Macaca mulatta: one gene and its partners. The protein of the gene in region 2 interacts with the protein of the main gene of each other region in a biochemical or structural test. Links are inferred from orthologs where the notes say so. Each region holds a gene or a part of one and is shown on either strand. Other genes may lie near its edges.

Region 1 (3,975 bases), on a different chromosome or scaffold from region 2:
TCTAACTGGTAGGTGAATTTCTTGTTGGGTGTTGTCTGGGCTAGTGGTTAAAAGGCAGCCAGCACACTCAACTTTATGCCCCGACTCCCCTCAGGGTGCCCATAATTTGGGGGCACCTTTCTGAGAACACAAGACACATAATTGGGAGCCATATCTACATATGCGCCCCTTGCATGTGTACTGGCTGTGTCCAGGTGAAACTAAAGCAACGGGTTGCCCTAGATGTGGACAGTGTCATCCTCCACACACTAACCCAGCTGACCTGAGGGCCTGGCCGCGCACAGTGCTATCCAGTATTCAATATTAGCATTCAAGGGAAGGACTAGTATATCTCATGATTGCCAGCTCCCCCTCTGCACTAAGCCTTATTTTGTCACTGCCCATATCACTGTACAGGAAACAAATCTGCATTCTAGCCAAAGTCGGCAGCCACTTTAAGGAAAAACTCACATGTGTTGGTTGCTGGCTCACACTGCAGAGATAATGTCTGAAGACTCTCCTCGTCCATTTCTAGCTCCAAATTGGAAAGGTACTGCTTCACTTTTCGAGCCATTTGGGCATCTTCATAAAGCTTTTTGGCATTGAGAAAGGAACTACGACGTACCCGCTTTTTATGACCACCTGTCTGAGCAACATCTAGCACTGTTGCGTTTGTACTACCCTGGCTGAGAGACCTGGAAGATGAAAAGGTAGATATGCAGCTCACTCTAGCATGGGAGTACTTTATCTATTTAAAACGTGCCAAGACTGATATTAATATTCTATGTTCAAAAGGTCACATGCTTCATTCCAGTGAGTAAACTGTTACACAGGAATATAGAATAATATAGATTAAAAAAATTTAGTTAAAAGAAAATTATACATAATATACATATAAAAATATATGTTTGGCACCTGTTCAGTTCGAACTAGGAAATTCTACTTTTCACCTCTATAGAGCATTTAAGGCAGTTCTCTCACAGATGCCAGAAAATAATAATTACATATAAAAGCTCATGCAAGAATACACAGCTATAATCATTAAGATTTGCAACATTAAGATTACTTCCCCTAAAGAGGATATTATATATATATTTAAATAAAATTAACTACAATGTTCACAATTGTCTTCTTATTCCTTGAGTTGAATGTAGTGAGTTTTTAAAGTAATACGGTCAATCTGTTAATAAAACAATCATGCAAATGTAAACATGTATGTATGGAAACTATTGAGCACATGAATTGTTAAGAATTATTTTTAAAAAGGATTGGTTTATACAGAATGAAAATAGTAGTTAGTTGAGCTGTAAAAAATTTGGGTTTAACACCTGGGGGCACCTATTTTATATTAAAAATATTTATTTCTCACATATCTGTGAAATATTTTAATTGTACAATTTTTCCTTCTAATATCCTTCCTCCCCTCCCCCTACTTTGAGCTTTCCGCATTTCAAGACACACCAATTATATTAAAATAAAATCTTTCTAAGAGTTCAGAAAAACTGGCCTATAGTTCCCCAGAACAGTCATCAATCATTTCACAGCTCTCATGGATCATGACTTCAAAAGCAAAAGCCCCAACAGATTAAACTTGAAGTCAGTTTGCCGTCTGAAATTCTGCTACAGCAAGAGGGTTAAGGAAAAAAATGCAAAAATGCAAAGCATCAGAAAATACAGCAGGTAAGAAAACAATACAATGAGCAGAATAAGGACTGTGTGTGGGTATGCAAGGTCTCCACCACTTACCCCAAACTCCGCCATTTCTTCTTCCTGTAAGTGAGAGCCATGGAGATTGAAGCATGGGTGTAGAAAGAGAGACAGAAAGATCACAAGCTCAGAAAGAAAGGACTAGACTTCTGGATAAGCAGTTCTAGAAGCCCACAAACATTAAACTGCATAATCACCTCACACACGCAACTTTACTAGAAATATTTTTCTAGCTTAAAAGACAAATATATTTAAATTTTTTGTTCTAGAATTAAGACCGACTTTTCTCTCTTTCACTGAATTAATCACTTTTTACTACACTGCTAGCTAAATCTGTTGTGTGGATATTAAGACAAGACTATTTCGGATATTTACATATTTTAGTTCATACTACTAGTTATGAGTTTTAGCTCTACAAGTCAGTGTTCTGAGAAATAAGAAATACATAATTGTGACTATTACACTGAAAATATCTGAAGGACAAACTGTTTTTACTGACAGCCAAAAGAACACTTTATAAGGAATAAGACATTTATTCCAAATTAGAGCTCACAGGTGATTCTCAGCACATCCTACTATAATTTCTGCCGTAGGACAAATGTAAATACTCAAACTTTTAAAAAATCATTTATTGGGAAGCTCTAAATTTAACCTTCTCTACTCTCACACGTGGCACTGAAGATGACATACTCACCGAGTCCTGAACATGAGGGCTGGGTCCATGTTCACTGAAGCCATTCGGCCAACGTGACGAATTTCTTTTGCGATCATCCTTAACTTCTCAAAATTGACCAGCCCGTCTACTTTTGAGTCATTTCCTGAAATTGACAGAGAAGAAAAAGGAAATCACATGGCATTTATTCTGTGCTTCTCCAAGCAAAGATGGAAACCCTCTGCCTTATGTTTACCTTCGTGAAGGAAGGTGAGATCCTTCTTGATAACTGGAAACAGAGGGATTATGGGTGGTTGTAGGTTTTGACTATTGAGAACATTGCGATATTTCGCCATGTTTCTGGAAGGATCAAACAGGTCTTGGAGATCTTGAAATAGTTTTTCGTATTTATTGGGAAGTTTCTCCCAGGTTGTTCGCAGTCTTGCCACTGGTGCCAGGTTTAGGCCACTGAGAGGAGAAAAAGAAATGTGATATAACAACTAAAGTAAAATAGTGTACAGATTATTTATTGACACATAACACCTCCTTGTTTATGCTTTATATGCAAAACAATTTACAGAAGGCTGCATAAGAAACTGTTGATGATAATTCTGGGGAATGAGATGGCACAGGGAAGTAGGGTCAGGGTCAAGCCAAGGCGTTTTACTCTCCTCTTCCCTATAGACCCTCCTCATCTGTTTACTATCAGCAAAACCACCTGAATATAAGTATTGATGCTTTGTATCCATACATAGCAGTATGTATACATACCAGTGCTTAGCCCATAGCGGCCTTTTGATAAAACCGACTGAGCAAATATCCTCTAGTAATAAAATAAGCTATGATAGTAATGAGAGTATGACTAAACTCCCAGACAGAGAAAATGACTCATTTAATAATCACCCTCAATAGCAACATAACTAATTGTTGCCATTTTTTTTTTCTTCTAACCTCAATCTAAGCTCTTAAAAAAAGGGAAGAAAATTAACATTTCCTGGCCAACTGCTTTGTGCTATTTGATGGAACTCCGCATACATGATATCATTAATCTTGTTGATAACTCTTTGGGGTATTGTTATTTCCACAGAAAAGTAAACTGATATTGAGAAAAGTTGAAACAAACTTAAAAAAAAAAAAAGTGGGGGATATAGATTTTCGGAGCTCCAAATCAGAACTTCAGATGCTACCAAAATGTTTCCTGCCTAATGGCTTCTTCGAATCTCTTCAGGTTGGCACAGCTGGTTTTGTTGGTACGAGAGATTTTCAATTAAGGTTAGGATTCAGAGAAAAAGAATTGTCCCTTATGAGTCAATTAAAATCTACTGCATTTATACTAATTATACGATGTTCCTGGACTGATACATATTTTAAATCTGTGAACTGAACTGAATCTTAAGAAAAATGTGTTCTCTTACCTAATGATTGCAAACATTGAGTTAAAATTCTTGCATTCCCTACAGTGCAGTGCTATCTTGATGAAATGCTTAATGATCTTCATCCTCTTCAGCTGGTTTGTTTCTCTGAGAATTTCAGACGCTACCCAAAATGTTTCCTGGTTAATGACTTCTTCAAATCTCTTCAGGTTGGCACAGCTGGTTTTTGATCTGAGTTTAAATAAATCATCTATATATTCAGTA
Region 2 (4,421 bases):
TGATTCAAAAACAAAACAACAAAAAAAATACTTTGGGAGGCCGAGGTAGGCAGATCACGAGGTCAGGAGATTAAGACCATGCTGAAACCCCGTCTCTACTAAAAAATACAAAAGGCCGGGCGCGGTGGCTCAAGCCTGTAATCCCAGCACTTTGGGAGGCCGAGACGGGCGGATCACGAGATCAGGAGATCGAGACCACCTGGCTAACACGGTGAAACCCCGTCTCTACTAAAAAATACAAAAAAAACTAGCCGGGCGAGGTGGCGGGCGCCTGTAGTCCCAGCTACTCCAGAGGCTGAGGCAGGAGAATGGCGTAAATTCAGGAGGCGGAGCTTGCAGTGAGCTGAGATCCGGCCACTGCACTCCAGCCTGGGCGACAGAGCGAGACTCTGTCTCAAAAAAAAAAAAAAAAAAAAAAAAAAATTAGCTGGGCGCAGTGGTGAGAGCCTGTAGTCCCAGCTACTCGGGAGGCTGAGGCAGGAGAATGGCGTCAACCCGGGAGGCGGAGCCTGCAGTGAGCCGCGATCTCGCCACTGCACTCCCGCCTGGGCGGAAAAAAGAAAAAAAGGCAGTCTAATATGGCTTCCTAATATGCTTTAGGCTAGAACAGAGGTTCTCAAAATACGGTCCAAGACAGAGGCTCCCCAAGGCCAAACTATCTTCCTAACAATACTAAGATGTACTCTTCTTCTTCTCTCATAAGTTTACAGTGGAATCTTCCAAAGTAGAACATTTGCTATTCCAAGAGACTGGATACAGAAGCAGGCATAAGAGCCCATGTGCCTTCTATAAACCAGACATTAATAAGACTTGCACAAATGCAAAACAATCCAACACTTCTCATTTCTTTCTTACTAAAAGTAATGTTTTACTACTCCTCTGAAACTTATCCTCTGTCTTAATTTTCAGGGACATCTCATTCATTGATTCACATAGATTATAATTTTATTCCTCAGGTTTTTGTACTGGATCATCTCTTTTCCTCTCTTGTATCCTCATTTTCCTCTCCAGTGGAGAGGAATTGCCCCAGCATACAAATATGCTTTACTATCTCCAATTCTAAAACAAAAACAAAAACCTCCCTTAACCCCAATATCTCTCCAGCTTCTGCCCCCATTCTCTGTCTCCTCTTATAATCAAGCTTCTTCAAATGTCTATATTCCATTTCCTCAGCTCTCATTTGCTCTTCAACCCACCCCACTATGCTTATGGCAACATGACCTGACTAAAGCTGCTTTCTTTACCATGTCCCACTACCTCTATGCTCTCTGATCATCTCTTTCCTCTTTTTTACTTGACTTTTGAGCAATCAAGTAAAGACACCTTCTATGCTAGATCCTCCAATCCTACCCACTTCCTAAAGGTTGAGAGGTACTCAGAGCTCAGTACTGGGCTCTGCTCTTCTCTCTCTAGTATCTCCCTAGACCTCTTTCACTCCTGTGGATTTTTTTCCAAAATTATTTCTGAAAAGGTGATTCATGGACATAGCACTAAATTCAAAAGGCATAAAAGGCTATGCAGTGAACTAAGCTTATCTACCACCCTTGTTCCCAGCTATCCAGTCCCACTCCCAAGAAAGTAACTGATATTACCCATAGCTTATTTAACCTTGCAGAGATACTCTATGATTTTACAGCTATCTGCCCTCAGCCTACACTTTTTTTAATATAAAACACAAATTATAGTCTACACTGTTTAGTACCTTTTTTCTCTGTAATACATCTTGGATATCATTACATATTGGTATATATAGAGCTATTGCATTCTTTCTAATGGCTGTATTCTACTCTGAAAATGTATTAAAATTTACTTAACTAGCCCCTTAATGGAACACATTTAGGTTGTTTCCAGACTCTGGTCACTTGGTCACTGTAAAGAATGTTGCAATGTTCCCTGACCACGCCATTTTGCACATGTGAACTTATATGTGGGCTACATTTTTAGAAAAGGAATCTTTGAATTGAAAGTTATATGCCATTAAAAATGACAGATATTCTCAAACATTCTCGACAAAGGCACTAATTTACACACCTAACAGTAATGTAACTCTCATGAAATTAAATATCATCACCATATTGATGGCACCCAAAGTCATATCACCGGTCTCTCTCTTTTATTACTTCAACATGTCACAAACATAAAATCTGGCTTGACTCTTTGATTTGGACTCTCACTGCTCATTCTCCACTGTTTCCCTTCTTTTTTTAATCCATCCATAATAGTAGCTCAAACTAGAAACCTGGGAGCCATCCTTGACAGCTCCTTCTCTCCTAGTCCCCGTATCAATCTAGCACCAACTTACGTCAGTTCTACCACTTACTCAATCCTCAAACATCTACTTCTCTTCTCTCTTCTTCACTGCCATGGTTTTAATCCAAGGTTCCATAAACAATGATCTGGTATACTGTATTAACTCCCAATTTGTCTCCCACATCCACTCTGCCTTTCTTCTAAATTAATCCGTATTTTTTTTTCAGAGTATCTCTCTCACAAGTATAACCAAGGAGTTCTTTGTTTAATTGTGTATTTATCACATCTCCTCCACTACAATGCAAGCTCCATGAGAAACTATGACTGTTTTTGTTCACTCCTGTGACCCTAGAATCTGACATTGTAGAAGCTCAGTAACTATTTACTAAATAAAAACAGCATGAACACAAAAAATGACCTTCATTCCATGTAAGTCTAGAGTGGAAGCAGGTGAGGAATTATCCCAATAGAATCTGTAATAATCAGTTTCCCCCACTACAATGTAAATTCCTTAAAAATGAGAACAATCTTACTCCTCTCTGAATCATAAACACTGGTGCTTGCCATGTAAGACAGTCAATAAATAATTGATAAATGTAAGAATAAATGAGCCAACATTATAAAAGTGTATATCTGTGGTTATTAAATGATTTCCCGTCCTTTGTGGGGCAGATACCAGATATATAATAATGCCACTTTTTCTCTTTGGTGTCTAGAAGTCTGAAAGCAAGGAAATATCAAAATTCTTCTTGTATTATACTAATCAGTTACAGTTAGGTGGCTAACTTACCAGAGCAGACTTCCCAACGCCTCCTGAACCAAGGACCACTAGCTTGTACTCACGCATGATGTGATCTGTTTAAATACTGACGATCTGAAAAACAAACAAACAAAAAAATCAAAGATTAAGAAACATACTAACAGCCTAATAACGTACAACTGCTACATCAAATATAGGAGTTTGTTTTGTTTTTTCCTTGTAAGACTATCAAATGGACAACAGAAGCTACATGGCAAAAATCCATACAGATTTTAACATAAGTTTATAGGATTACTTTCAGACATTTTAATTCACTGAAGATCATCTTTGACTAGGCATCAATTATGTTCATATTACTTCTAAGAATCTTTGATTAAAAACAAGATGATTAAATCCAACAGTTGATAATCTTATGACTACAATGATAAACCTAATTCTTTGCAAAGCTATCATTTAAACAACTTATGTACTTTTAAAAAATATTCACTCATGAGCTTTAATATAATGTACAGGCTATTTTACTTGCTTAAAATATTCTACAGTAATTCTACACTATTTTGTTCATTATTGTATTATAGCTGAACCATTTAAAGTGTCATCTTGAAAATAATTAAAGATGTGAACAAGAGATCAGATGAAATTGCTAAACACTATAGGCAGTTATTAGCAATACACGACATAAGGCCCAAATGGCCAGAGAAAATAAAAGGAACATAAACTTTATTTTTTATCTCCATGGTTATCTTAAAAGGTATAAAGACAGGAAATAATTTTCAATGGCCATGGTGGAATAACTAGAAACAGACTTTTCAACTCACAATAACAGCCAGAACAGTGAACAAAAAAATATAAAACTCTTTTTAGATATTGGATAACAAGCAGTGTAGGACTGTGATTTCTGAGATGCAAAAGAAATGAAGTGAGACCTAACCTGCCCTGGCTTTCTGCCTAGAGGCACTTTTCAGACTATGGTGAAGGGAGAAAGAACTCAAGCAGAGCTTAGAAGTGTGCCAGAGAAGTGGAAGCTAAGCATATAAAATTCCAGAAATCGGCATAAGGATTCACTTGAGTCTGGCTAAGCACTAAGCCCAGCACACAGACTAACTTCAAAAAGTAAGGCAAAGAATAAATAGAGATTTACAGGTGGAACAATTCCCAGAGTCATATGGTTCTGACTAGAAGTCTTCCTTGTTGAAAAACTAAGAATTCACTAGAAACCTCAAAAGACTCTTATCTTAGTAGCAGAGCTAAATAAGCTCTAGAGTAAATGATATTCTAGATGCTTCCTAACAAAGCTTAAAACAAGGCTCAAAAGGATGGAGTTGGTCCATGTGTAACTCAACCACTTGTCTAAACAAAGTCCAAGATTCTTTAAAAGAAGCAGAAAAAAAAATTCCACCACTCAATCATA
Region 3 (3,975 bases), on a different chromosome or scaffold from region 2:
AATATAGCCTAGTGAAGAAATCCTATGTAAACAGATAAATTGAATAAATATAATAAGTTTCCATAAGGTAAAAAGTATATGTGTGCGAGGGGAAGTAGAGGCAGTAGTGGAAGTAGTACCCCTGCATTTGAAAATCAGGGGTAACTTCAGGAAGGAAGTAATACTTGACTGAGGTCTTGAAGAATGGCAGCAATTTGCTGAATGCCAGTGGCCATTCTTCGCAAAGCCGACAAGTATTCACACTTGGAAGATGGTGCTCATGGGAGAGACAGACATTTAGAGTGGCTAGAGCATGGGGTGCACCCGGGGGTGAGGCTCAGGGGGTGGGGCCAGCCAGTGCAGGGCCTTTGAATGAACGAGTTCTCAAAAGTTCATACTGTGGGCCTCAAGGAGCAATGAACGGGTCCTACAATGCACCTGACGTGCAATGATTCCCACTTCTGCACATCATCATCTCCTTTTTTCTAGCCTCCTGTAGCTCACCCAGGCACCCTGCAGTTCAGCTGCAAGACGAAGGATGTGTGTACTGCCTGCTTACTAGTGCTGAGGCAGAGGGCATAGTGCTTCTGTCTGATATTTTGACATTTACTTTAAGGTATAAATACTTGAAATGCAAAGACATAAATATTCAAAAATGGACCTTTTCAGCCATTTGGTCATTTAACTCCATATTACATGTTTATATCCCAACCCTTATCACCATAAGACAAAAAGAAAAACAATGTGCTCTCTCAAGGAGACTAGAGGAATGGCACTTCTCACACTAGAAACTTACTGAGCCGCAATTTTGATGAATTTTTTCACCAGCTGCACTCGCTTGCCCAGCTGGCTGCAGAGGAGAATCTCCGTGGCCACCCAGAGCTGGACCTCATTGCATCTCTGGAGCAGAAGGCTGAGGTTTGCAGTGTGTTCCCCACTTCCCTGTCTGCTGAATGTGAAGTAGATCAGCTCTTGCTGAAAGAAAATGTATTCATGCCAGGGTTTATTTATAGCAAAGTACAGTTGATACAAAATTCGGTCAAATTTTAAGAGCTACTTCAGGTAGTCCCTCCCATATTATTAATATGCTAACGGAGAATATGGCGAACAGTAATATATTAAATTCAAAACGACTCAGTTTTAGAGGTGCCTCATTCAATAATGCTTTTTGTGATTTTTGTGTTTTATATAAGTGATTTTTCAGAATGTAAGGAAGACATCTTTATATACAAATCTAAGATATTCTGAAGTTTAAATCATAGGATAAATGGAATCCCCAAATTTCCGAACCTTGTCCTGTTGAAAAATTCAAGTGAAAATGAACACTAGTACTACCAGTATTTGTTAAGGTGCACATCAGACCCTCACAGGTCTGTTCTCTAAGACAGTGGTCCTCAAATTTTGGTGTGAATCAGGATCACCTGGAGGACTGCTGAAGCACAGACTGCTGGATCCCACCCCTAGAACCTCTGATCCTGCAGGGGTGTGGAGGGGCCGGAAATCTGCATTTCTAACAAGTACCCAAGTCCCGCTGATGATGCTGGTCTGAGTATCTGCTCTTTAAAAACCACTGATGTAAAACATTGTCAAACCATAAATGGAAAGAGAATGAGATTAGGGCAAGGTCTAATAATTTATGAAAGCAAACAAGACCAGTAACTATTTATATAGATGGATCATGTGCAAAGCAATAGATTTGTTTTTAAATGTGTATGTGTGCGTGTGTGTGTGTTTTACAGAGGTAATCTACATTCTTCCACTGCATAAGCAGGGATATATCCTAGTCTACTAACATTTCCAAAGACACAAGTCATTTAGCCTGAAGGAATTCACTACTTGCTCACATTCTGATCACAATATTGAAATCTGTTTAATGAGAAAATACGAGGACATTTGGGTCTCTAAATTGGGCGTGAGGTTCCTTCTTCAGAAGGAAAGGCCACTTCAGAATGAAAAATTTTACTACATGGCAAAACAAATGCAACATATGGTTGCAGAGGCCTCTACCATTTTTCATCTCTTGATTCCCGTGAGCGTTTCCTCTGGCCAAATGTACTCAAGAATTGTCGCTAGCATTTTGCTCCCAATCTATCGTTTTAAAAATGTCATAATCTGTCCTTAAGTGAAAAACTGATGGACATAAAAACTTGAAATATATCTAAAATTTTCAATAAAGTACTTTAAATCTTACAATGCAGTCTAAACTTGTAGAATGTTCTTAAGTTAAAAGATGCATATGTGTGTACATAAATAAATATGAATATGATTCTTGTACAACTATCATAAACTTCATGGAAAAAATAAAGCTATCAATATCAAAGGTGAAATGGTTAATCAACCCCATTAGAGCCTAATCTCCAAATACATATATATATATTTATACATGTGAAATATAGCATATTTATACATTACACAAGCATATGCTCACACTCGGAACAAATAAAAGCATGCTTGCATATTCTGATTTTTTTAGACTTGCGTCAGTCTTTCAATATATTTAAAGTCCCCAAGTATCTTTTGGACCATGTTATTCTAGTATAATTTCATCACCGCATGCACTGATATTCTGCACAAAGAATTCACAGTCAAAACAGCATTTGTATTTTCTTTTCACTCCTCACGTACCTCGTGAATTGAATTGAATAGACTCCAATCAAAATTCATTAATTCCAGAGCAAGATCCCAAGTGTTCATTCCCAAAATCCTCATCGACCTTTGCTGTGATTCCTCATTTTCTGCAAACGGGTTCTAAACCGACAGAAGCAAAAAGATCCTTAGTAATTCCCAAATGTTTTGCACTGCATTGGCTGGCTGTAGAAAGGCACTAGAAACCCAGATTAGCAAAGTAATCTTTTCTGAGTGCACTTAATATTTTCCCTGGTCTGTTCGCCTTCAGTGAGTTACAGCCAATTTAGGAAACGGTCTTGCAAATAGTAGAACGTGATCAATGATACTTCAGTGAGTTCGCCCACTCCTCCCCCATCTCTCTCCCCCGCCCCCACGTGCACACATGCACGCACAAATCTGATTATAAAACACTGCCCTGGCAGACAGCATAATGAAAGCGAAAGCCCCGAAATCACTTTGGCTTCTGGTAAGAATTAATGTGCCAGCAGGGTTAGTATAAAAACAAACAAAAGAAATGTCATGGTGCACTTCAATAAAGACAGACATGGCGTTTACAGGAAATATGTTTAGCAAGTCTCATCCCAGACACACATTTACACATTTTATTAAAATGCCCATGAAAAGTAAAAAAACAAATTTAACATGAAATAAAAATTATTTCATTTATATCCCATGGTGGATTATTATTTTAAGCATCAACCACTTTCCCTATGTAAATAGGGCCTAACCTCTACGAGGCTGGTAACAGTATTTCCTTAAGATATGGCATAAAAGTATTAGATGCCATCACAACTTTCAATCTATTTCACCACTAAAGTTATTAAAAAGATTATTTGGCATGTTTCCAAAATAGTTGATGTTTTCTAATGAAAATATAAATTCTCCCATTTGAAGGGTTAGATTTGAATAATAACTTTAAAACAAACAGAAGGAACCTTCCAACAATAAATGGCATGGTAGGATAAAGGGAATATTCCAGCTGCCAAATATTAATCCATATTTCTAAACTGAAAAATAAATTATTTGCATTTTAGAAGTTTTACATTGATGAAAATTTTTCCTATTTTTTTTTTTTTTTAAAACCTAGGCCGGGCACAGTGGCTCAAGCCTGTAATCCCAGCACTTTGGGAGGCCGAGACGGGCGGATCATGAGGTCAGGAGATCGAGACCATCCTGGCTAACACGGTGAAACCCCGTCTCTACTAAAAAAAATACAAAAAACTAGCCAGGCGAGGTGGCGGGCGCCTGTAGTCCCAGCTACTCGGGAGGCTGAGGCAGGAGAATGGCGTGAACCCGGGAGGCGGAGCTTGCAGTGAGCCCAGATCGTGTCACTGCACTCCAGCCTGGGCGACAGAGCGAGACTCCATC

Evidence for each region.
Region 1: the proteins of RAP1A (region 2) and RAPGEF2 form a complex in vitro, tested with the Homo sapiens proteins (2 studies listed by BioGRID and IntAct, with this or other methods). The link is inferred for Macaca mulatta from reciprocal best matches to the Homo sapiens genes RAP1A and RAPGEF2.
Region 3: of the proteins of RAP1A (region 2) and RAPGEF5, one has a biochemical effect on the other in vitro, tested with the Homo sapiens proteins (2 studies listed by BioGRID). The link is inferred for Macaca mulatta from reciprocal best matches to the Homo sapiens genes RAP1A and RAPGEF5.

The regions. Positions count from the first base shown.
Region 1 is NC_133410.1:167,886,316-167,890,290, reverse strand, and holds part of RAPGEF2 (rap guanine nucleotide exchange factor 2), read right to left. Parts: coding exon 3,754-3,975; intron 2,807-3,753; coding exon 2,595-2,806; intron 2,505-2,594; coding exon 2,381-2,504; intron 1,750-2,380; coding exon 1,726-1,749; intron 675-1,725; coding exon 451-674; intron 1-450. UniProt on the Homo sapiens protein: Functions as a guanine nucleotide exchange factor (GEF), which activates Rap and Ras family of small GTPases by exchanging bound GDP for free GTP in a cAMP-dependent manner.
Region 2 is NC_133406.1:128,545,549-128,549,969, forward strand, and holds the start of RAP1A (ras-related protein Rap-1A), read right to left. Parts: upstream 3,125-4,421; 5' UTR 3,098-3,124; coding exon 3,041-3,097; intron 1-3,040. UniProt on the Homo sapiens protein: Counteracts the mitogenic function of Ras, at least partly because it can interact with Ras GAPs and RAF in a competitive manner. Together with ITGB1BP1, regulates KRIT1 localization to microtubules and membranes.
Region 3 is NC_133408.1:106,155,151-106,159,125, reverse strand, and holds part of RAPGEF5 (rap guanine nucleotide exchange factor 5), read right to left. Parts: intron 2,728-3,975; coding exon 2,605-2,727; intron 955-2,604; coding exon 776-954; intron 1-775. UniProt on the Homo sapiens protein: Guanine nucleotide exchange factor (GEF) for RAP1A, RAP2A and MRAS/M-Ras-GTP. Its association with MRAS inhibits Rap1 activation.